4 linked regions of the Arabidopsis thaliana genome follow. The protein of the gene in region 4 purifies or fractionates together with the protein of the main gene of each other region. This does not show direct contact. Each region holds a gene or a part of one and is shown on either strand. Other genes may lie near its edges.

Evidence for each region.
Region 1: the proteins of PBD2 (region 4) and AT4G08140 fractionate together in Arabidopsis thaliana (co-fractionation; one large-scale study listed by BioGRID). This does not show direct contact.
Region 2: the proteins of PBD2 (region 4) and RPN5B fractionate together in Arabidopsis thaliana (co-fractionation; one large-scale study listed by BioGRID). This does not show direct contact.
Region 3: the proteins of PBD2 (region 4) and EMB2719 fractionate together in Arabidopsis thaliana (co-fractionation; one large-scale study listed by BioGRID). This does not show direct contact.

Annotation. Positions count from the first base shown.
Region 1 is NC_003075.7:5,133,443-5,136,893, forward strand, and holds AT4G08140 (26S proteasome non-ATPase regulatory subunit-like protein), read left to right. Parts: upstream 1-2,230; coding exon 2,231-2,283; intron 2,284-2,418; coding exon 2,419-2,539; intron 2,540-2,617; coding exon 2,618-2,698; downstream 2,699-3,451.
Region 2 is NC_003076.8:25,892,997-25,898,533, reverse strand, and holds RPN5B (regulatory particle non-ATPase subunit 5B), read left to right. Parts: upstream 1-1,947; 5' UTR 1,948-2,088; coding exon 2,089-2,091; coding exon of another isoform or gene 2,092-2,095; exon of another isoform or gene 2,096-2,194; coding exon 2,195-2,389; intron 2,390-2,549; coding exon 2,550-2,657; intron 2,658-2,769; coding exon 2,770-2,874; intron 2,875-2,972; coding exon 2,973-3,029; intron 3,030-3,133; coding exon 3,134-3,330; intron 3,331-3,473; coding exon 3,474-3,573; intron 3,574-3,667; coding exon 3,668-3,780; intron 3,781-3,881; coding exon 3,882-4,035; intron 4,036-4,133; coding exon 4,134-4,211; intron 4,212-4,288; coding exon 4,289-4,507; 3' UTR 4,508-4,754; downstream 4,755-5,537. Other genes in the region: RGF9 (root meristem growth factor), read left to right, coding at 449-524, 690-853; ABR1 (Integrase-type DNA-binding superfamily protein), read right to left, coding at 4,878-5,537. UniProt on the Arabidopsis thaliana protein: Acts as a regulatory subunit of the 26 proteasome which is involved in the ATP-dependent degradation of ubiquitinated proteins. Acts redundantly with RPN5A.
Region 3 is NC_003070.9:7,000,166-7,006,418, reverse strand, and holds EMB2719 (PAM domain (PCI/PINT associated module) protein), read left to right. Parts: upstream 1-1,986; 5' UTR 1,987-2,108; intron 2,109-2,243; 5' UTR 2,244-2,264; coding exon 2,265-2,343; intron 2,344-2,436; coding exon 2,437-2,627; intron 2,628-2,818; coding exon 2,819-2,959; intron 2,960-3,048; coding exon 3,049-3,185; intron 3,186-3,286; coding exon 3,287-3,341; intron 3,342-3,429; coding exon 3,430-3,540; intron 3,541-3,907; coding exon 3,908-4,147; intron 4,148-4,497; coding exon 4,498-5,010; 3' UTR 5,011-5,332; downstream 5,333-6,253. Other genes in the region: AT1G20220 (Alba DNA/RNA-binding protein), read left to right, coding at 40-114, 240-304, 392-466, 584-640, 748-804, 924-1,157, 1,238-1,329. UniProt on the Arabidopsis thaliana protein: Acts as a regulatory subunit of the 26 proteasome which is involved in the ATP-dependent degradation of ubiquitinated proteins.
Region 4 is NC_003075.7:8,498,009-8,503,087, reverse strand, and holds PBD2 (20S proteasome beta subunit D2), read right to left. Parts: upstream 2,823-5,079; 5' UTR 2,691-2,822; coding exon 2,533-2,690; intron 2,442-2,532; coding exon 2,318-2,441; intron 1,629-2,317; coding exon 1,581-1,628; intron 1,348-1,580; coding exon 1,030-1,347; 3' UTR 848-1,029; downstream 1-847. Other genes in the region: AT4G14805 (Bifunctional inhibitor/lipid-transfer protein/seed storage 2S albumin superfamily protein), read left to right, coding at 1-267, 354-410, 491-714; ATSUV3 (ATP-dependent RNA helicase), read left to right, coding at 3,259-3,322, 3,566-3,725, 3,869-3,990, 4,069-4,259, 4,342-4,482, 4,602-4,724, 4,910-4,987, 5,077-5,079. UniProt on the Arabidopsis thaliana protein: Non-catalytic component of the proteasome, a multicatalytic proteinase complex which is characterized by its ability to cleave peptides with Arg, Phe, Tyr, Leu, and Glu adjacent to the leaving group at neutral or slightly basic pH.

The sequences.
Region 1 (3,451 bases), 3.4 Mb from region 4:
CAAGGCCCGCCAAACCAACCTTTGGAACCTGGGCTCCTCCGGCTGCGGCACACATCACTCCTGGGCCCTCAGCACCAACGGCATGCACACCGGTACCGACACCACCAGCCCCCACTCCGGTTGCACCAGCTATATCGGCACCAAGACCGTTCCTAACCCCGGGCTCCACAAACTCAGGTTGCGAACCCACTCTGCTCAACTGTGGCACTGTGGCCATCACTCTCGCCGGTACCCTCGAGGACTCGTCCCCTACCGCGACCACGACCGCGACCACGACCACGAACTCCAGCTCCTCTAACCATCTGCGCTACTCAAAAACAAATGGCTAAGAAACTAAAACAAACGAATATATCACAAACAACTTACCGTGGAATCTCATTTAAGGCTTGGAGAAGATGATGCTAGAACTCCAACAACACACAATTGACTAAACACTCCATAATCAATCCTCAATATGCTAACACCCTAGCTCATCCCACATCAATCAACAGGAAAATAATTCATCAATTAATTTTTCTACACATCTTAGAACCGTAATCGCTCTGATACCAAATTGAAACAACCCGACCCATTTTTTTTAAAAAAAATAATTAAATATTTCCATAAATATCTAATTAAACCAACCAATAGAATAACAATTAAACCACAAGTCAAAAATACTATTTAATGAATAAATAAATAATTCGACCAACAAAACCAAGAATAACTAACAATCCTAACCGGGTTCCAATAACCAAAAACACCAAAAATAAAACAAACGAGTTCCTAGATCATCCTCTCTTCCTTGCCATGATTCCACGATCACACTTTATCTTTACCTGTATCAACAACACAATGAGATGCGTAAGTATTATCATAAATACTTAGTGAGGCGATCCTCCCATCTACGAGCTATACACACAAGCAAATAAAAAGGTATAATCACGAATACAATACAAACAAACCAGTCATTGAACAATTCATCCAAAACACATTCACCACACCTACATATCATCACACAAAACAAATCACACAACCCTATCGCTCAGATAAGCTCATGGTCACGCACTCACCTTAACAAATTGATTCTAATAGCAATTAAACCCAGGAGAGACTCTCCTTGCGTCTGAAACAGTCCAGAAACGTCCTACAAAAAGTCCACAACCAAAAGCAACCTTGAAGCAAACTGGACAGGAAAAACCAGAAACAAGCAGTCTCAAAGACGAAACCCTCAAATACAAACTAACCGTTAACTATTCAATCTCTCCGGTGAAATCCTAGCTGCAGACGTCACAAAGCTGACCACAAAATCTCGTGCCGATCGGAAAACAGACGAGACCACGATCTCAGTTTCAATCTCCGCTGGTCCTAATTCGCGTCTGAGAAAACGTGTCTCACGAAACTGCGAATAACTCAACCAATTTGAATCCAAATCCAATTCTGTAAATTGGAGAATAACGATAAAGGACTTGGGAATAACTCTGCCAAATTTCGTTACCTTTTACCACGATTTGATATGACGAAACTGATTTCTCCCAAACCCTAACGATTCTGCTCGTTCTCCTTTTCTCTCTTTTTCTCCTTTATAAAACGAAAAGTGGCTAACCAAAGCCCTAATTTCGAGTTTACTTCTTTTATAGGCATACTCTAAGGTTTCCAATTAACCCAATCAATTAAACCGGATGATTTAAAAACAAACTCTAACTGATTTTCCGGTTCACGGGCGTTACAAAGAGGAAGTTAGAATGATGAAGATGGAAATGAACAAAGAGAGGATGGAAAAGAACAAAGAGAGAAGAAATGAAGATGATAATCGTTTTTTCCTATGGTTGTTCAATCACCATGGCAATTGGAATGTTGTGTCTATAGTAGAAAAAAACTTATTTATCGGTTTTAATTTGGTTTATTTTTGTAATAAATCTTTTCATCTTTGATTCGATATGATGAATCTAATTATGAAGACTAAGTGGGTTCGTATTCTTTTCTTATTACGAGAACATATCAATTACAGTATTGTACGTGGTTTTACAAAGCATAAGGAGATATACAAAAACAAAACAATAAGCATGTTCAAAGTGAATGTTTTGTTCGTCATTAGTATAGCCGGATTAAAAAGTTGCTAACTTGTGCTGTGAGGAGAGTTTTTTTTTTTATATATGTTCACAGGACTAATGACTCGACTTACATTGGGTTGTGATTGTAGTCTTAAGAGGATTTGGAACTAAAGCAGAACCTTAAGCTCTATGTTGAGATGGTTCAGGATCCTAATCCGGACTTGCAGAAGGCTGCTCTTGAGAGTATGAGGTAATTCTTGACTTGATTAGCTTCGGGTTTTCAGATTACTGTCTTTGAAGCTCATAATTTATAAAGTTTTTCTTTCTTTTCTGCTCCTTGTGTTCTACCCTTGTTGGAGTTTTTAATTTTTTTTTGGTTTTGTAGGCAGGAAATCCGAGCTTTAACAAGTTCAATGACTTCAGTTCCCAAACCACTAAAGTTTCTGCGTCCCCAGTATGTAACTCTTAAAGCGTTTCATGAAACAATGGCTGATTCTAATCTCAAGGTATGTCATCATTGATTTCAAGTTATTAACAATTCTTATATTGGTATGGCTTAAAAATTACATTTGCTATGTTTGCAGAAGTACATTTCTGATATCCTGTCTGTCCTGGCCCTTACCACGCTCTACAGATTGCACTATTTCTTGATAACACGAAGGTAGAACTGAGCCTTCTTTAATTCATCTAGTAGTTGTTGTCTGAGTTTGATTTGTTGATTTTGCTTTTGATATGTGATTATTTGATGTCTGCTTTTGATTAGTTGATGTCTGCTTTTGATTATTTGATGTCCGGTTTTGATTATTTGTTGTCTGCTTTTGATTAGTTTATTTGTTTCTCTGTTTAAATGCAATATATTTTTGAGTTGAGATAGCATTACATTAATATTTTAAATGCTTAGAAGAAAGTATTTGTTCTCTATGGTTAAATAAAATTCTAACACCTTTGATCAAAAAAAAAAAAAAAAAAAAAAAAATTCTAACACCTAATACTAACTTGAAGCTTTTAAAAGCTCTCTCTTAGTTATTGCGCTCAAAATTTCTCTGAATTGGTCTAAGCAATAAAAGCTAACTGTTTTTTAACTGTGATAAATGCATGTTAACTAGTGTATTTTGGAGTGGTTTACATTGGGTAAAAGTATTATCATAGTTATGGTCTATTTTATTGAATGCTTGGTAGGTTAAGTGTAAGTAAAAGCTCTATGTGATTTATTGCTCTCTGTGATCAATATCAAAGAGCTTTAACTTAACACCCTACCCTAACTTGAAGCTTCTAAAACCGCATCTATTTAACAACATAACTTCAAGCTGAAAAACACAGTTTAAATCACATAACTTCAAGCTGAAAAATCTTTCTCTTATCTTTTTAACAACCAAACCAAACAAGGTTATGGATTCCTTTAAATCTTTCCCTAATCA
Region 2 (5,537 bases), on a different chromosome or scaffold from region 4:
AAGGTGACAAGTCATTGATCTTCGTTCGTGATTTCATCCGACCTTTTGATTACCAAAGTTCCTGAATTTTTTTATTACTAAACTGGGTTAAGGTATGTGTTTCGGTTTAAATTTCTTACATATACAAATGTGAAATTAAGTTTGTAACCGAAATTCTGTTTCTCATTCAAAAGACGTGATTGCATAAATTATCATCATTTATTTGCTTTGCAAACAAGAAATATTAATTTTGTGGGGATAGATTCATGTTAATGTGGGAAGACAGAGAAATATCGACGTCAAATCCTTAGACCCATATGTCTCAATAACTTCCAAAACGTTATTCAATTCCGATATAAAATTGGGACCATAAACTGATCATAGAATCATTCATCTCTATATATAAACACAAAAAGGTTCAACAAAAGATAATTCTATATAACCAAAGAAAAAAAACTCTCTTCCAAAAATGGCAATTAGGGTTTCCCACAAGTCTTTCCTCGTCGCACTTCTTCTCATACTCTTCATTTCCTCTCCTACTCAAGGTAAATTTATAGCTAATATATATATACACACAAGCGCGCTCACCTCACGAGTTTCTAGCTATATCAAGTATAATTTGAATGAATCTTCTTCTTGTTTTTTGGTTGAATATCAAAATATATTACCCAATAATGAGTTCTTGATATATAAACATTTTGATTTTTTAGCACGAAGCTTACGAGAAGTAGTAAGGAATAGAACGCTATTGGTTGTGGAGAAGAGTCAAGAGAGTCGGAAAATAAGGCACGAAGGTGGAGGAAGTGATGTTGATGGATTGATGGATATGGATTATAATTCTGCGAACAAGAAAAGACCGATACACAATCGCTAATAAACACACATGAACTTATCGAATTCTTGTGAGATATCCTGAGATCCAAAGATATCCCGAGATTTTATCTTTTACTAAACATAAATTATAAGAAGTGAGAATGTATTTTATATAAGAAAAGAAGTGAGAATGTAAACTATTATTATTTATAGGAACATATAAATATAAACGACTTTGTATGCATGTGTACAGTATTATCTCGAGGGAAAACAGTTCTATACAATAATCATAGCTTGTGTGTGCTAGCTTTATGTATGGATTGCATCATGGTTTTCTGTTTGTGAAATAAAACTCTATAATATATTATGTGTATATAGAAACCCACAAATATCTTCTTTAACTCTGTTGTAGTATTAGTTCCAATAAAATAAAATTACACCTCAAAAGAGTATTTGCTGATTTTATATATCGAATTCAAACCTACGGAAGCTCCCATCCCATGAAGGTGTTGTGGATATTTGATATCAAAATATGCATATACCAAAATACAATCAAATAGATTATAATTTAAAGTAATAGGACTTTGGAAAAACTAGGCAACATACCAAATAATATATGGGATCAAAGTTTTCGACAAATATCGATTGGTTTTCAGTCTCCAAACTTCTTTCATTTAGAAGGATAGAACTTAAATTCATTAGTGTCTTAATTTTGTAGTTCCACAAACAATAATCCTTGTCTTAACATATAAATTAGTCTTATAAGTCAGTAAAATCATGGTGAAATTTCTCTACTGCAAGTGGAAGGATTCAAAAGAAAGAAAAATAAATCCGAGCAATTGATGGATTTTCTGTTACTGTTAGAGAGTTGCCGAGGCTCGAGCGATAATGGGCCTTAAAAAACTTACTCAAATGGGCCATATGGACCTTAGATTTTCATTTATTACAAATGGATCCTATAGTTTCGTTCATAACATATTACCCAACAGCTATTTGGGTATGACCCTACAGGCGACAGGTAGGTTTATTCAATATTTACCTAATAGACCCAATAGATACTTTTATTACATATGTACACCAAAAGTCTTACACTATTTCGTTAAAAGTCCCAATAAATAAAACGTTATAATTAGGCCCAAATAGTCTGAGCTAAGCTTTTCTTGTTCAAGGGGTTGGGGTTTCGACGCTAACATTCTCTCTCTCAGTGAACCTTTAGAAGTTAAATCTGTTTCATCACCGGAAAGTTTCACTAACTCTTCTTCTCTCTCTCGGAGTATTGATTCCCGGCGTTTAGCAATGGCAAGTCTCCGATTTCACAGATCTGATTTTCAACTCTCTCTCTCTCTTTTCTCTTCCGTTCGAATTTTGGTTTGTCAAATTCGATGTCGTGATTTGATTGCAGGAAGAAAGTAGACAACTCGAATCGTCGATTGATCGGCTGCTGAACGAAGAGAAACAGATGAGGCTCGCAGAAAATGTCGCCGGAACTAGAAAAGCAGCTACCGAGATTCTTAAGCTTTGTTTCGAAGCTAAGGATTGGAAACTTCTCAACGAACAGATTTTGAATCTCTCGAAGAAACGTGGTCAGCTTAAGCAGGTCACACTACTTTCTATCGATTTAGCTTTTGAAACCTGCTTGTGGTAGTTTAAGGTTTTCGATTACTTGGAACGGTTTCTACTGAGTTCTGAATCTTACTGAGAAATTGAATGAAGAACTGAGTGAGATATTGAAAGTGGTTAGGTCTCTTGATTTGCAGGCTGTACAATCCATGGTGCAACAAGCAATGCAGTATATTGATCAGACACTAGACATAGAAACTCGGATTGAGCTTATTAAGACTCTAAACAATGTAGCTGCTGGAAAGGTGCGGATTAGAGTTGGCTATTGTTGTTGTTGTTGTAGTTATATTTGCTTGAATCTTGATCACTCCGTGCAAGTTTTTTTCTTGATGAATATGTGTGTGTGAGCATGTGTAGATATATGTCGAAATCGAGAGAGCTCGTTTGACCAAGATGCTTGCTAAGATTAAGGAAGAACAAGGTTTGATTGCTGAAGCTGCGGATCTCATGCAAGAAGTTGCTGTAAGCTTTTCTTCCTCTACTTTCCAACTTTCGTGGAAATCGTTTTTTATTTATTTTATAGTTTATCAATGTGCATTGATTGTGATTATGAATTATAGGTGGAGACATTTGGTGCTATGGCAAAAACTGAGAAAATTGCTTTCATTCTTGAACAAGTAAGACTTTCTGTTATCTTTTCATATTTCTTAAGCTTTGTGCTTTGTGCTTTGTTCTTGTTTGTATGTTGTGATTCTAATTATTGGTGTGTAAACTTCTGAAGGTCCGCTTGTGTTTGGATCAAAAAGATTTTGTCCGTGCACAAATTTTATCTAGGAAGATCAACCCAAGAGTGTTTGATGCAGATACCACGAAGGAGAAAAAGAAGCCTAAGGAAGGTGAAAACATGGTAGAGGAGGCTCCGGCTGATATACCTACATTGTTGGTGCTAAAACGGATTTACTATGAGCTAATGATTCGGTAAGTCCTTGATTTGGTTTAATACATTCTTCGCCAGTTATTGGTGTCAAAATATTTGAATATTATTCTCCTCTGAATTTTGATTTCCCTTTACTTCTGTGATCTTTATAGTAAAAATATAATGTGCTGATTCTGTTGTGTAGGTATTATTCTCACAACAATGAGTACATTGAGATATGCCGTAGCTACAAGGCGATATATGATATCCCTTCTGTAAAGGAAAACCCAGAACAATGGATTCCAGTAAGTCTCGTATTGTTGTTTGGATGATCTTGTGGTAGTCTACGTTCTGTAATTAGCTTGGATTAACTTTTCTCCCTTGATCCTCTAAATATAGGTCCTGAGAAAGATTTGCTGGTTTTTGGCCTTGGCACCACATGATCCAATGCAATCGAGCCTACTCAATGCAACCTTGGAAGATAAAAAGTTATCAGAGATTCCTGATTTCAAGTAATTCTCTTTATCTTGATAAAAATTTGGGTTTTCACTACTCTTCCCCTCGTTCCCATCTGAAACAGATTCTCAATCCCTATGTTTATATTCTGTTGCAGGATGCTTCTAAAACAGATTGTTACAATGGAGGTGATTCAGTGGACATCTCTCTGGAATAAATACAAGGACGAGTTTGAGAATGAGAAAAACATGATTGGAGGCTCTTTGGGTGACAAAGCTGGTGAAGATCTCAAACTAAGAATAATCGAACACGTAAAGACTCTTTGAGCTCTAATCTATCTTTACCTCTTTGATTGCATCAATTGTTACTGAAGAGTCTTAACTTTACAAATTCTTCACATCTTCTGCAGAATATTCTCGTTGTCTCAAAGTACTACTCAAGGATTACCTTTAAGAGACTTGCAGAACTTTTATGCCTAACCACTGAGGTAAATATAGTTTCAAAATACTCTTAAGTGTACCAGTACATGTTTAAATCTCTTCTTACCGTTTCATTATATTTCAGGAAGCAGAGAAGCATCTATCTGAAATGGTTGTGTCCAAAGCCTTGATAGCAAAAATCGACAGACCATCAGGAATAATCTGCTTCCAGATTGTTAAAGACAGCAACGAAATCCTCAACTCGTGGGCAACAAACTTGGAGAAGCTTTTGGATCTTGTTGAAAAGAGTTGTCACCAAATTCACAAAGAAACAATGGTTCATAAAGTTGCACTAAGAGCTTGAGAACCCGGTCTAGCCACACACATCGGTGGAAAGAATCTTTCAGGCTCTCGTTCTAACATAATCATTTGAGTTTTCTTTCTCTGCTTGGTTCGAACACATTTTTTTTGTGTTCTTTAGGAGACCTTGCAAGATTATATACAAAACTCTCTTTTTTTTCCTTTCTCCATGTGGTCTTTTTAATGTTTGTTACAATGAAACGAAATTATAATGCAAAAATATAATAAATTAAGAAAAAAAGCATGAGAGGATGAAAGCAGAACAATACAAACAACCTAAACCCTATAATATTTGGAAAAATAACTCTATAACATATAATCATTTTCCTGTTTTCTATTACTCTATAGTGAAACAAATAAAATGAAGCAAGTCATCAGGAGGATGGACTATTATTGTAGTTATTACTAGTCTTGTCTGATGGCCATTGTATATCCTGGAGATAACCGGTTTCGCTAGCTGATTCTGGTGGCGGCTGAACAGCAGCCGGGGAAAACAGAGGACGAGAATGAGATGATGATGACGACGTAGATTGCATCATTGAACCTCCAGTGTGACCGAAACGCAACGGAAACGACATTTGATCGTATAAATCCAAAGATTGTTGATGATGTTGCTGAAACTGTTGTTGTTGACGAGCCATTTCAGAGTAACTCAAGTTGTATGATTGCATCAACGGCTGCGAATGAACGCTTTGATTCGAAGCAGGTCTTATGGGCAAAAGGGTAGTCGTTGAACCCGAGTTCCTTGACTGGGTCGGTCTTTGAGCAGCGGTTTGGTGCACAGGTTGTGCTTCGGTTGAAGCAGGTCTAACGAGTTTGACGTTTTCAGGGAAGTTGAGTTTGGCTTTGTTGCCTCTAAACCGAAGTGCAGCTTCGTCGTAAGCTCTTGCTGCTGATTCAGCATTGTCGAACGTACCGAGCCAAACTCTAGCTGCTTTAAATGGATCTCGAATCTCAGCCGCCCACTTTCCCCATGGTCTTTGTCTAACTCCTCTGTATCTTCGCCGAGGTTGGTCCCCACTAAACGACGACGT
Region 3 (6,253 bases), on a different chromosome or scaffold from region 4:
GACCTGTTATTTATTAAAACTCATCTTTTTCTCCTGAAGAATTGAGACCACGAGGCATGTGTCGATGATAACCATAACACTTTCCAAGGAGCAGTTGAACACATCCTCAGTTGGGTGAGTTTCTAGGACTGGTTGTTTTGCTATTTCTCGTCTATTCTCTTATTGGGGATTTTGTTGTTTTGTGTCTAGAGAGGTACATTGTCTCCAATGCTAATATATCTTATTAAATAATGCTATAGGTACCAGTGTCCGATTCCTATTGAGATGGTGAAGCCATTGGCTGAGATTGACTACGAAGGGCAAGGTATTTTAGAGTCTCACTCTTAATGACGTTTTTAAGCTCCCTGCCCTGCTGTCTTTTTTAAGTTTTTAAATTATCTCTTTCTTGTAGACGGATCTCCTAGAGGCAGAGGAGGAAGAAGAGGTAGAGGAGGAAGAGGAAGGGGAAGGGGAAGAGGTGGTAGAGGTAGGATTACTTTAGAAATTGTTTATACAGTGTCGTAGTTTCGTTGTAAGCTTTTGCATGTGATTTGTGGATAAGCGTTTGAGTGGACTGTGCTAATTCCTTTTTTCGACTTATCAGGAAATGGACCTGCGAATGTTGAGTATGATGATGGAGGAAGGGGAAGAGGTGGCAGAGGTAGGATATCTTTAGCCAAATCGTATTTGAGTATAGATTTTTGCATATGATTTGTGGATAAGGGTTTGAATGTGTTGTGCTATTTCTTTTTTTGTTTGATTTACCAGGAAACGGATATGTGAACAATGAGTATGATGATGGAGGAAGGGGAAGAGGCGGCAGAGGTAGAATTGCTTTAGAATATTTCTTTCCAAATCTTAGTTTTACCTTTTAACATATTTGCATGTGATCGGCGGACAAGTGTTTGATTGGCTTGTGCTATTTCTTCTTTCGGATTTGCCAGGAAGTGGATATGTGAACAATGAGTATAATGATGGAGGTATGGAGCAGGACCGGTCATATGGCAGAGGACGCGGGCGTGGGAGAGGAGGTGGACGTGGTGGTCGAGGAAGAGGAGGTTACAATGGCCCCCCACCACCTTACTATGAAGCTCAACAAGATGGAGGAGACTATGGATACAACAATGTTGCTCCTCCAGCAGACCATGGATATGATGGTCCTCCGCCTCAGGGACGTGGTACGTTGATGATTTTGTTACACTAATGTTTTCTCATTAAATAATGATGAGTTGTAAATGTTTAAAAATTGTTGGAACAGGACGTGGCCGTGGAAGGGGAGGTCGTGGAAGAGGAGGAGGCCGTGGTGGATTCAACAGATCAAATGGAGCACCTATCCAGGCTGCTGCATGAGCGACCAGGGTCATTGAATGAAGTTGGATCTTTCTTACATTCTCATGTTTTTGTCTCTGTTCTTCAAAGCAACTTGTTGCCGTAGAATAATCTTTCGTTCATGTCGCTTTAGGTTATATATATCCTCATTTATTTTATCATGGATCTTGGATTTTCAAGTTTTTATTCCTTCAAGAGTTTTCTAGTTTTGTCTCTTTTTTGAGTTTTGGATATTTGTTTGACTCCAATTACATTCGTCGGCGTATTGACACTAACAAGTAAACAACCCCCTTTGGCATTGCCTTTTTCCATTGGTTCGTATATCAGTTGATTATATATTCTAACAACATAAAAAGATAACAAGAAAAAATAATGAATAATAAAATTGTAATTCCAAGTTCCAACGTGTTTTGAGACAAAAAGAAATTAACCCAACTTGCGCTGGTTGTGTTTTGGGCTATTCGAAGAAAGCGTACGAAAATAAGTGAGAGAGGTCCAAACAAAACTAGTAACCAAAAAGTTAATCGCCGTTGCCGGGGATCGAACCCGGGCCACCCGCGTGACAGGCGGGAATACTTACCACTATACTACAACGACATTTGTTGCTCAATCGTAATGTAGAAGATATAAATACTAATATGGAAAAAAGCTGTCTTGAACAAAAAGAAATATACTTTTTTTGTTGTGTCCAAAAAAAGGAAAATACTTAGGAAAGAAAAGAGTCTCAGCAGCATCAGCTCGTCCTTAAATCTGATCCATCATCGTCACTTTCTCCCGGCGAATTCCGTTTTATCGATTTAGTAAGCTCTCTGTCTTTATCTCTCCGTCTTTCTCAGTCAACAAATTGGTTGAAACTTCAATCGGTTCCTTGAAATCTCACCGGCTTAGTTGCATACTTCTGCAAAAACCCTAACCTTGTTTTTGTCTTTGTGAAGAGTAACGAGATTTGTGCAAAGATGACTCAGGACGTGGAGATGAAAGATAACAACACCCCTTCTCAATCGATTATCTCTTCTTCTACCTCTACTATGCAGAGTAAATCTCGATCTGAATGCTTTAATTCTCGAACTGTTTTCATAATTGCTAAGTTTCTTCTGGGTTTTGACGCTTTGTTTCTTTGTTTCCCAGATTTGAAGGAGATTGCAGCACTCATCGATACTGGGTCTTACACGAAGGAGGTTCGTCGTATTGCTCGTGCTGTGCGTCTCACTATAGGGCTTAGGCAGAAACTCACCGGCTCTGTGCTCTCTTCCTTCCTGGATTTTGCTTTGGTTCCAGGATCCGAAGCTCACTCTCGCCTCTCTTCCTTTGTTCCTAAGGTATTTGTGGGTTTTACTTCTTCACTTTGATGTTTCAGAATTCTCAACTTGGTTGTTCCTTTTAGCATCTGGCTTTAGGTTGTTTAGATTCGTGTTATGGTTGTTATACTTTCTTTTGATGTTGTGAATGGCAAGTTATCTAACATACAACTGGCTTAGAGACTGAAATATTGGAACTTTTAATGGTTTAGGGTGATGAACATGACATGGAAGTTGATACTGCCTCATCGGCCACACAAGCTGCTCCTTCTAAGCATCTACCTGCAGAGCTCGAGATCTACTGCTACTTCATTGTTCTTCTTTTTCTGATTGATCAGAAGAAGTACAACGAGGTAACTACTGCTGTATCTTTGTGTTTTGTCATAAGTTACTTTTCTGTTGTGATTTTAATTTTAATGAGTTGCTTTTAATCATCTCTTAGGCTAAAGCTTGTTCTTCAGCAAGCATTGCTCGTCTCAAGAACGTCAACCGAAGGACCATTGATGTGATAGCATCAAGACTCTACTTTTACTATTCTTTGAGTTATGAGCAAACCGGTGATCTTGCTGAAATTCGCGGGTTAGTAGCTCAAAGACTGTTTTAGTTTTGTACTTTGTCTTACACCTCATATTAATCAGTAGCTCAATAGTTAATAATCTGGTCATTTTTTCTACCTGCAGTACTCTTCTTGCGTTGCATCATTCTGCAACGCTAAGACACGATGAGCTGGGTCAGGTATGTCTTTGTTTAGCTCATTCAGTCGGCATTCATTATTTTGAAACTGTTACTTGCTTCTTATTCAAATTTATCATGTTGAATGCAGGAAACCCTTCTGAACCTGTTGCTACGTAACTATTTGCATTACAACCTCTATGATCAGGCAGAGAAGCTAAGATCAAAGGCACCTCGCTTTGAGGCTCATTCAAACCAACAGGTAGCTCTTGGCTATTCCTTCATACTCTAAGTTTTCTCGGTTCTCTAGATTCTATATTTGCATGAAAACTCCAATGCCACTTCTGCAATCTTTCCAGAGAATTATTTTTTCTATTCGCTATAGCATTTTCCATCTAGGAGGCTCTTGTGTTTTCTTTTCAATCACTAATTATTTGCCGAACTTACTTGAAGTGTCCATTTTGCCTGTCCTTTTCATACTTCTGACACCACCTCTTACCATTACCATCGATCTACCTTGTGTTTTTCTTTGCTACATATGAATTTTGTTCTTTTTTTAACCCTTCAATTGTTACTGTTTCAAAAGAATAAACAGCAAGATGACTTGTCTAAAACATTATACTTTGCAGTTTTGTAGGTACCTTTTCTATCTCGGGAAGATTCGTACTATTCAGCTCGAATATACGGACGCAAAAGAGAGCCTTCTTCAGGCGGCCAGGAAAGCCCCTATAGCAGCTTTGGGCTTCAGGATCCAATGCAATAAATGGGCAATTCTGGTTCGTCTACTGCTGGGTGAGATACCAGAGCGTTCTATCTTCACTCAAAAGGGTATGGAGAAGGCCCTCAGACCCTACTTCGAGCTAACAAATGTGAGTCCACTTTCATAATCTTGCTGCTGTGACATGTATTCATTAATTTATGAGCGGATAACTAAACTGGTATTAGTATGTGGTCACTTGTGATCTTGCTACTTCACTTCTGATTTTAAACCGGTTCCTACTTTTCACTTACTGGCCTATACACCTCTTCTGTTAAAATCTCTCTGTGGTCACTTGAAACACAATTTTGTTGCTGCTGTTGTTTTCTGCTCCTTCGAATTATATTGAACATGAATTTCTGGCTGTTTACTGTTGCTTTTTAGAGATATATGATGCAACTGGATAGTTGATACTGATTTTGATCTGAGGCTTACTATTAAAGCTCTGTTTTGATTTTACAGGCGGTTAGGATTGGGGACTTGGAGTTGTTTAGGACAGTCCAGGAGAAGTTCTTGGACACATTTGCTCAAGACAGAACGCACAATCTCATCGTGCGACTCCGCCACAATGTCATCAGGACTGGACTGCGGAACATAAGTATCTCCTACTCAAGAATCTCTTTACCCGATGTTGCCAAAAAGCTGAGGCTCAACTCTGAAAACCCTGTGGCTGATGCGGAAAGCATCGTGGCAAAGGCCATACGCGACGGAGCTATTGATGCTACAATCGATCACAAAAACGGATGCATGGTCTCCAAAGAAACTGGGGACATCTACTCGACGAATGAGCCACAAACTGCGTTCAACTCAAGAATTGCTTTCTGCCTCAACATGCATAACGAAGCTGTCAGAGCATTGAGGTTTCCTCCTAACACTCACAAGGAGAAAGAAAGCGATGAGAAGAGGAGAGAGAGGAAGCAACAGGAAGAAGAGCTTGCTAAGCATATGGCTGAGGAAGACGATGATGATTTTTAGACAAAGGTCATCTATTTCTTATAAGAGTTGACTCTCCATCTGTCTCACTTTTTTTATGTTCACAAGTTTACTTGGTACTCTTCTCATCGTCTCTAAGTGTTTCTTTATTGAGGATTTTTATCCTCAGGAACCTTTTTATTACTCTGGTTTCACTTTAGGAAAAGATATTTATCTTGTTGGTTTCAGAAGATCAAATTCAACTTCGTTTAATTGTGTTTGGGAGATTTTCGCATTTTAAGAATTGAACACTTGTAGTTATAGCTAGCTGTATTAGGTGGGTCATTATTAGAAATTGACCATGTGAAATGCTATCATCTCCAGGCGATGCATACCATTAAAATCCACATTCATAATTTACATTAAATGATAGATAAGCAGTCATAAATATCTAAAGAATGAAAACAGGACATGTGTATTGACCATTATGTGTATTGATACATTAGTCTATCTCTGCCAAACTAGGTCTCATTTTCTTGAATAAAACAATCTCATGTTATGCTTTTAATTATAGGTGTTTCTGGTTCGATTCATTAACTTCTTAATAATGACAAAAATCTGTAGAATAATACCCGGGCTCTTTGATAGCTACAACTGCCAACTATTTAATCCATACAATCAAAATGTAATTTTCATAATTGTAGATTTGTAATGGGTCAATATATTCTTACACTCTAATCATATCCAAACAAGCTCCTCAATTCCTTAATCTTGTTGTATCCAGTATCCATATTTTGTTTTCTTACTGCGGAAGTTACTTGGTAGTGTAGTCTGGATTTCGGATTGCAGACTTTGCAGTCCACGATTTTTCATATGTTGGTGACAACGAACAAGTGTTAAGTTGACGGAAGTGTTCGTAACAAACGACGTCGTGACGGTGATCTTCATCAACTTTGATTGGAAATCAAGTTTTGAGGGACAATTAACCCAAAAAAATAATCATAATGATAATGAAAGAGATTTGGCGTGTTGCTAATAATGTAGGACAAGTGAGCATGTGAGAGTCTGTGACCGATGAACCTGCTCAGACCAACCTGCACATGATTGTATCACAAACAAAAAACTCTCATTTGTCTTTCTTTCGTCTTACTTTATTCATTTTAAGCAAAAATTAAATATCCACCGCGTTGCACAAGAAATCATTTACCCATATGATTATTCTCTTAGTTTTGAATTTTTGATGACCATGCTGATTTAAAATTTGCAATCTTACAATAACTTTAACTTATGTATAAAAAAAAATGCT
Region 4 (5,079 bases):
CTTGTACGGAGGAGCTCGTCATGTTCTCTCCTTGCCTTCCTTACGTCTCCTCTCCACCAAACAATATGTCAGAGACTCCGGATCCTATTTGCTGCTCGGTTTTTACCTCCTCCGTTCATTCTAGCACCGGAAACTGTCTCTGTTATCTTCTCCGGCAGCCGATGATCCTTGGATTCCCGTTGGATAGATCTAGATTGATTTCTCTTTCTCAGATCTGTACCGATCAGAATTCCGAAGAATCTTTCGAATCTCTCTGTTCGGTATCAGGTTAATTTCGAATCCTCCTATGTAATTGAATCGATTGAATTCGAATCTCAGATGTGTGATTTCTATGGTTTTGATCTGTGGTGCAGAGTCGCCGGAGCTTCCTCCGCTTCAGAGTATTCAGTTCACAAATCCGTTTGTTTCCGGTAAGAAACGGATTATTCCGGTGGATTCTGTTTTAAGTTTCGTTGACATGTAACTTGCTTCATTCATTCATATTCTGCAGGTAATAATGTTTCTGCCTCTCCTCAATCAGTCGACTTAGCACCGGAAGTTTCACCAAGCTCCGATCTATTCTCACCGGAAACAGCCACCCTAGCACCACCACCACCACCACCACCACTACCAGTTCTACAATACTTCTCAAGCGACTCTCTCAAGATCAGAAACTTCTGGTTTCCATCGACTATCATCATGACTTTTGCCACTTCTATTCTCGCTCGTATCTGAACTGTTTTAAGCTCTCTGTGCTTTTTACTGCTTATGTTTACTTCATTGATACTTAAGATTTTACCATTGGGCTTGTGTTAAAGTCTTCCCTATGTAGAAACGCAGAGAATAGAGATGATATAGTAGAAGAAGATGTTTAGGTTTACATTGCACTATCTTTTGCTTCATATACGCAATAAGGAAAGAAAAAGTTCAACACATGCATATCATCATCATTATCTAGGAACTTTAATATCCAGGGAGCTTGAAGTTCAACAGAGAATATAAATGTGAGCCGAGTAACATAAATGGACTAATAAACACAATGAAAACAACTTAGGCATCAGCAGTGCTGATACGCCATCCGTACTCACGGGCTCCGTCCTTGTCAACAATCTTGATAACAAAGTTTGGTGGTGCAATGACCAGCCTTGACCTGATCTCGAGTATGCATTTGTCCACCAATTCAATGGCTTCTTCAACAGACATGTCGCTGCGGTAGTGTCTGTCCATTGTAGAGAGAGAGAAGTATGAGCCGTATCCAAATGCTCCCTTATCAACCTTGTGGAGGGTTGCAATGTAGTCAATGTAGTATAGAGATGCGCCGGCTTCTTTGTCATAGCCAGCCATCAGGATGTTCACCGAATATGGATTCTGGAATCAAATAGAACAGACAACAATGGGAAATCTCAAAATGTCAAGTGCGAATATGCAGACCAGTCCTAAACAACCCAAAAAAATCCAGGGAATCAATCAGATCATTTAACAATCTATAGCTAAGGCTACATGGGTATAAACCCCACTCAACACTGTCCAAAGTTGGAAGATCTACCCTAAACCGGTAAAAATGATCACACATCAGTTAGCCTTGAGTATCAGATTTTCACCATCAAGACACAGAAGTCAGAGTAACCTTGGAAGGTAGCACAAAATTCCTAGTCTTGTAAATTCTTAGTTAATGAAATAATATTACTTATCAAGCTTGGCATAAGAAAACTATTAAGCTGTAATCCGAGTTTCATCTTTTCTGCATCATAATTCTAAATTTCATAACTTCGTCCAACTCAAAGATAATCTTCTGTAACATCCAAGGACATAAAACTGCAACAATGTGTAGAATAGTCTGAAATACCTTGAATATTTCTAAAGGCCACACTATGTCTACATAATGAACACATTAGGTAAAGTTTCTAATGGCATTTAGCTACTCTGAGGTAATGAATATTAACAAGTATTAGAACTACCTGTATCAACAATGGTTTTACACCACCATACAAGAGGAAGTGAAACACAAAGGCTTATATAAACTTATCAACAAGTATTAAGCATCAAACATCTTAACACAATCAAAACCATAGTATGACAGAGGAAAGCTTCAAAAAAATTGACATGTTTAACTAAAGAAGAAAGACAAGTTCAACTACATTGCATCAAAAGAGGAAACTAAAAAACCAAGAATAAGCACTAAGCACCAATCGCTGATCTGATGATACCCCACAATCTCACTATTTCATAAAAGTATATGTACCTCAAAGAGATTAAAACCCTAATTCCCCAAATCTAAAATAAGGCAGAGAAACTTCTGAAATAAAAAAATAAAAAACCGTAGAAGAAAAGTTAGAACCTTTCTCAAAGCAGTGGCAAGTTCTCCACGAGTGAAGTTAGCAGCAGCAGCAGTACTCAAAGGAATCCCATTACGAAACTGATACAGTGACACATTCTTCTGAACATACTCCGTAAACTGAACCCTAAAGTAAATCCAAAAAAAAACAGAAATCAAATTCATGTACTACTACTACTGAATCACAGACAGAGAGAGAGACGGAGAAGTTTTTTTACCGGTCACCAGGCTCACCACTAGCGGCGACGAGCTTGTGAGAGTCAAGAGTCATGATCTTGTCCTCTTTGTTCTTGTGAAGAAGAATACTGTGAACTGCTGATGTATCCGCCGCCACGATAGCGAATCCATTCCCAACTAGACCAAATACACACTCCATCTTCAGATCTGTTTCTTCTCAGTTCCTTTTTCGAATTTTTCGATTCCGATTATTCGTTTCTTCCGGTCGCTGGAAGAATAGTTTAAGAGCTTTTTAGATCAAAGCGACTTGGCGAACAAGACGGGTTGATTTGGTAGTTCTAGAATATAGTCAGGGGTATTTTAGACATATTAACGTTATGGGGACATTTCTATTTTTTAAAGTAGGAGGGTGTAAGAGAGAGTAATAGGAAAAGCTTAGGGGTTAATTTGTAAATTAAAAAGGAACCTCTCGTTTTCTTCTCTCTCCCGCTTCTTGCTGAGTCGCCGACCCTCTGAGAAGAATAAGGTCTAACAATGGAAGTCTGAGATGGTTTCTTCAGTTTCTAATTATAAAAGAGAATTTGGTTTTAATTTCTCTTTATTGTTTATCTCGTCCTCGATTTCAAGAGTTTGATTTCTGTAACTTTGAGCTTCCTTCAAAGCAAATGAAAGGTGTCGTCGTGAGTATACTCGAATTGTATTTCCCATGGTGAATAAAGGATAAGAAAGTGTTGTGTCTTCATTTCAATAGATAAAACAATCTAAACATGGCGTATTCTGTTGTTCGGCTTCGAAAGGTTTCAGCTTTGGGGATTTCTCGTGTTCTTCAAGGTTGGAGCTTTTAAACCCTTTTTTTCTCTGTTTTCTGGTTCTCTTTTGGTTAGAAATTGCGGATTGTAGTTTGTAAGTGATCTTAGAAAGGAACTATCAGAAATTTTGATCATCTGGATACAGAAAGTTTGAACCTTTATGAGCTTTGCAGCTTCTACATCTGTTTCTGTGTAGTGTCTAGAAGAAGATTGGATTGGTTTAACGTTGTATCTTATGATGGCTTCGTGTTGCCTAATGTTTCAGCTGATAAAGGAAGTTTGTGGCGGTTTCACTTTGAACCTGAGTTTGGTGACCTTTTGAGATTAGGTGTCTTGACTAGGAATTATAGAAAGAACTCTGGATCTCCAAAGTTTGATTTCACTGGCACTGGAACCACCTCAAAGTTCGATTTCACTGATCTCACGTAAGAGTAAAACTTCTTGTAGAATTTTTTTGTTAGCTCCCCAGTAGCAACTAATTGCGATTCTCTTTGCAGTTCCATTGTTGTTGTGGAGAGATTAGTAAAGAGGAACTGATTTATATTTCTGTCATTACTTTGAATTCTAGCTGTCCTCATACATGGTATCCTATAGCTCGGAAGAAGAAGCGTAAGGTCATTCTACATGTTGGCCCGACAAACAGCGGGAAGACATATAGTGCCCTTAAGCACCTTGAACAGAGTTCTTCAGGTATGCCTTGAAGGTGACTAATAAACCTTTTGGAAGCCAGTTCTTGAACTGTTTAAAATTTGCTTCTTTCACTTGAAGGTGTATATTGTGGTCCGTTAAGATTGTTGGCATGGGAGGTAGCTAAACGGTTAAACAAAGCAAATGTTCCATGTGATTTGATCACGGGACAAGAGAAAGACTTAGTGGAAGGGGCAACACACAAAGCTGTGACAGTTGAAATGGCTGATGTTACATCTGTCTACGATTGTGCCATCATTGACGAAATTCAGGCTAGTCTTGCTCGACTTTGGCTTAAGAAATCGACAAGAACTTTTTGTTTGTTATTCTCATCCTTTCTTTCCCTAATTTCAGATGGTGGGATGTAAACAAAGGGGATTTGCATTTACTCGTGCTTTACTTGGAATCGCGGCTGATGAGCTACATTTATGTGGCGATCCAGCTGTCGTACCTCTTGTTGAAGATATACTGAAAGTAACTGGAGATGATGTCGAGGTATCATGTTTATTCGAGCTAGAGTCCCTTTTTCTTCTCTAATTATTTCTTGTTTATAATTAAATACCAATACTCTTGATGTAATCACGACCTCTTGATCCCTTTTATTTTGAATTCAGGTTCATACCTATGAGAGGCTTTCACCATTAGTCCCTTTGAAGGTTCCTGTTTCATCAGTTTCCAGTATTAAAACTGGGGATTGTCTTGTCACTTTTTCCCGAAAAGATATATATGCGTATAAGGTTAGCAGTTACTTATCTTGTTCTCTCTTCCTGTATTTTGCTTTTTTCTGCTTGAGTTTGCTGCGAAAGAAATAGAACATTTTGGCATCATATTATATGCATACATAGCTCTATTCTCTACGCGTCATGAGTATTGAATGCTTCCATACATATTCTTTACTCTTTTTTTTGGTACCTTTTCGTAGAAAACAATTGAACGTGCGGGGAAGCATCTTTGCTCTGTGGTTTATGGTTCGTTGCCTCCAGAGACTCGCACGGCACAGGTTTGAGTTCCTTACTGTCTTGGCTATAGGCTTAACTGGATGCTCTAAGAATTATCTTTTTTTGTTTCCAAATGCTTTAAAATCTGCAGGCA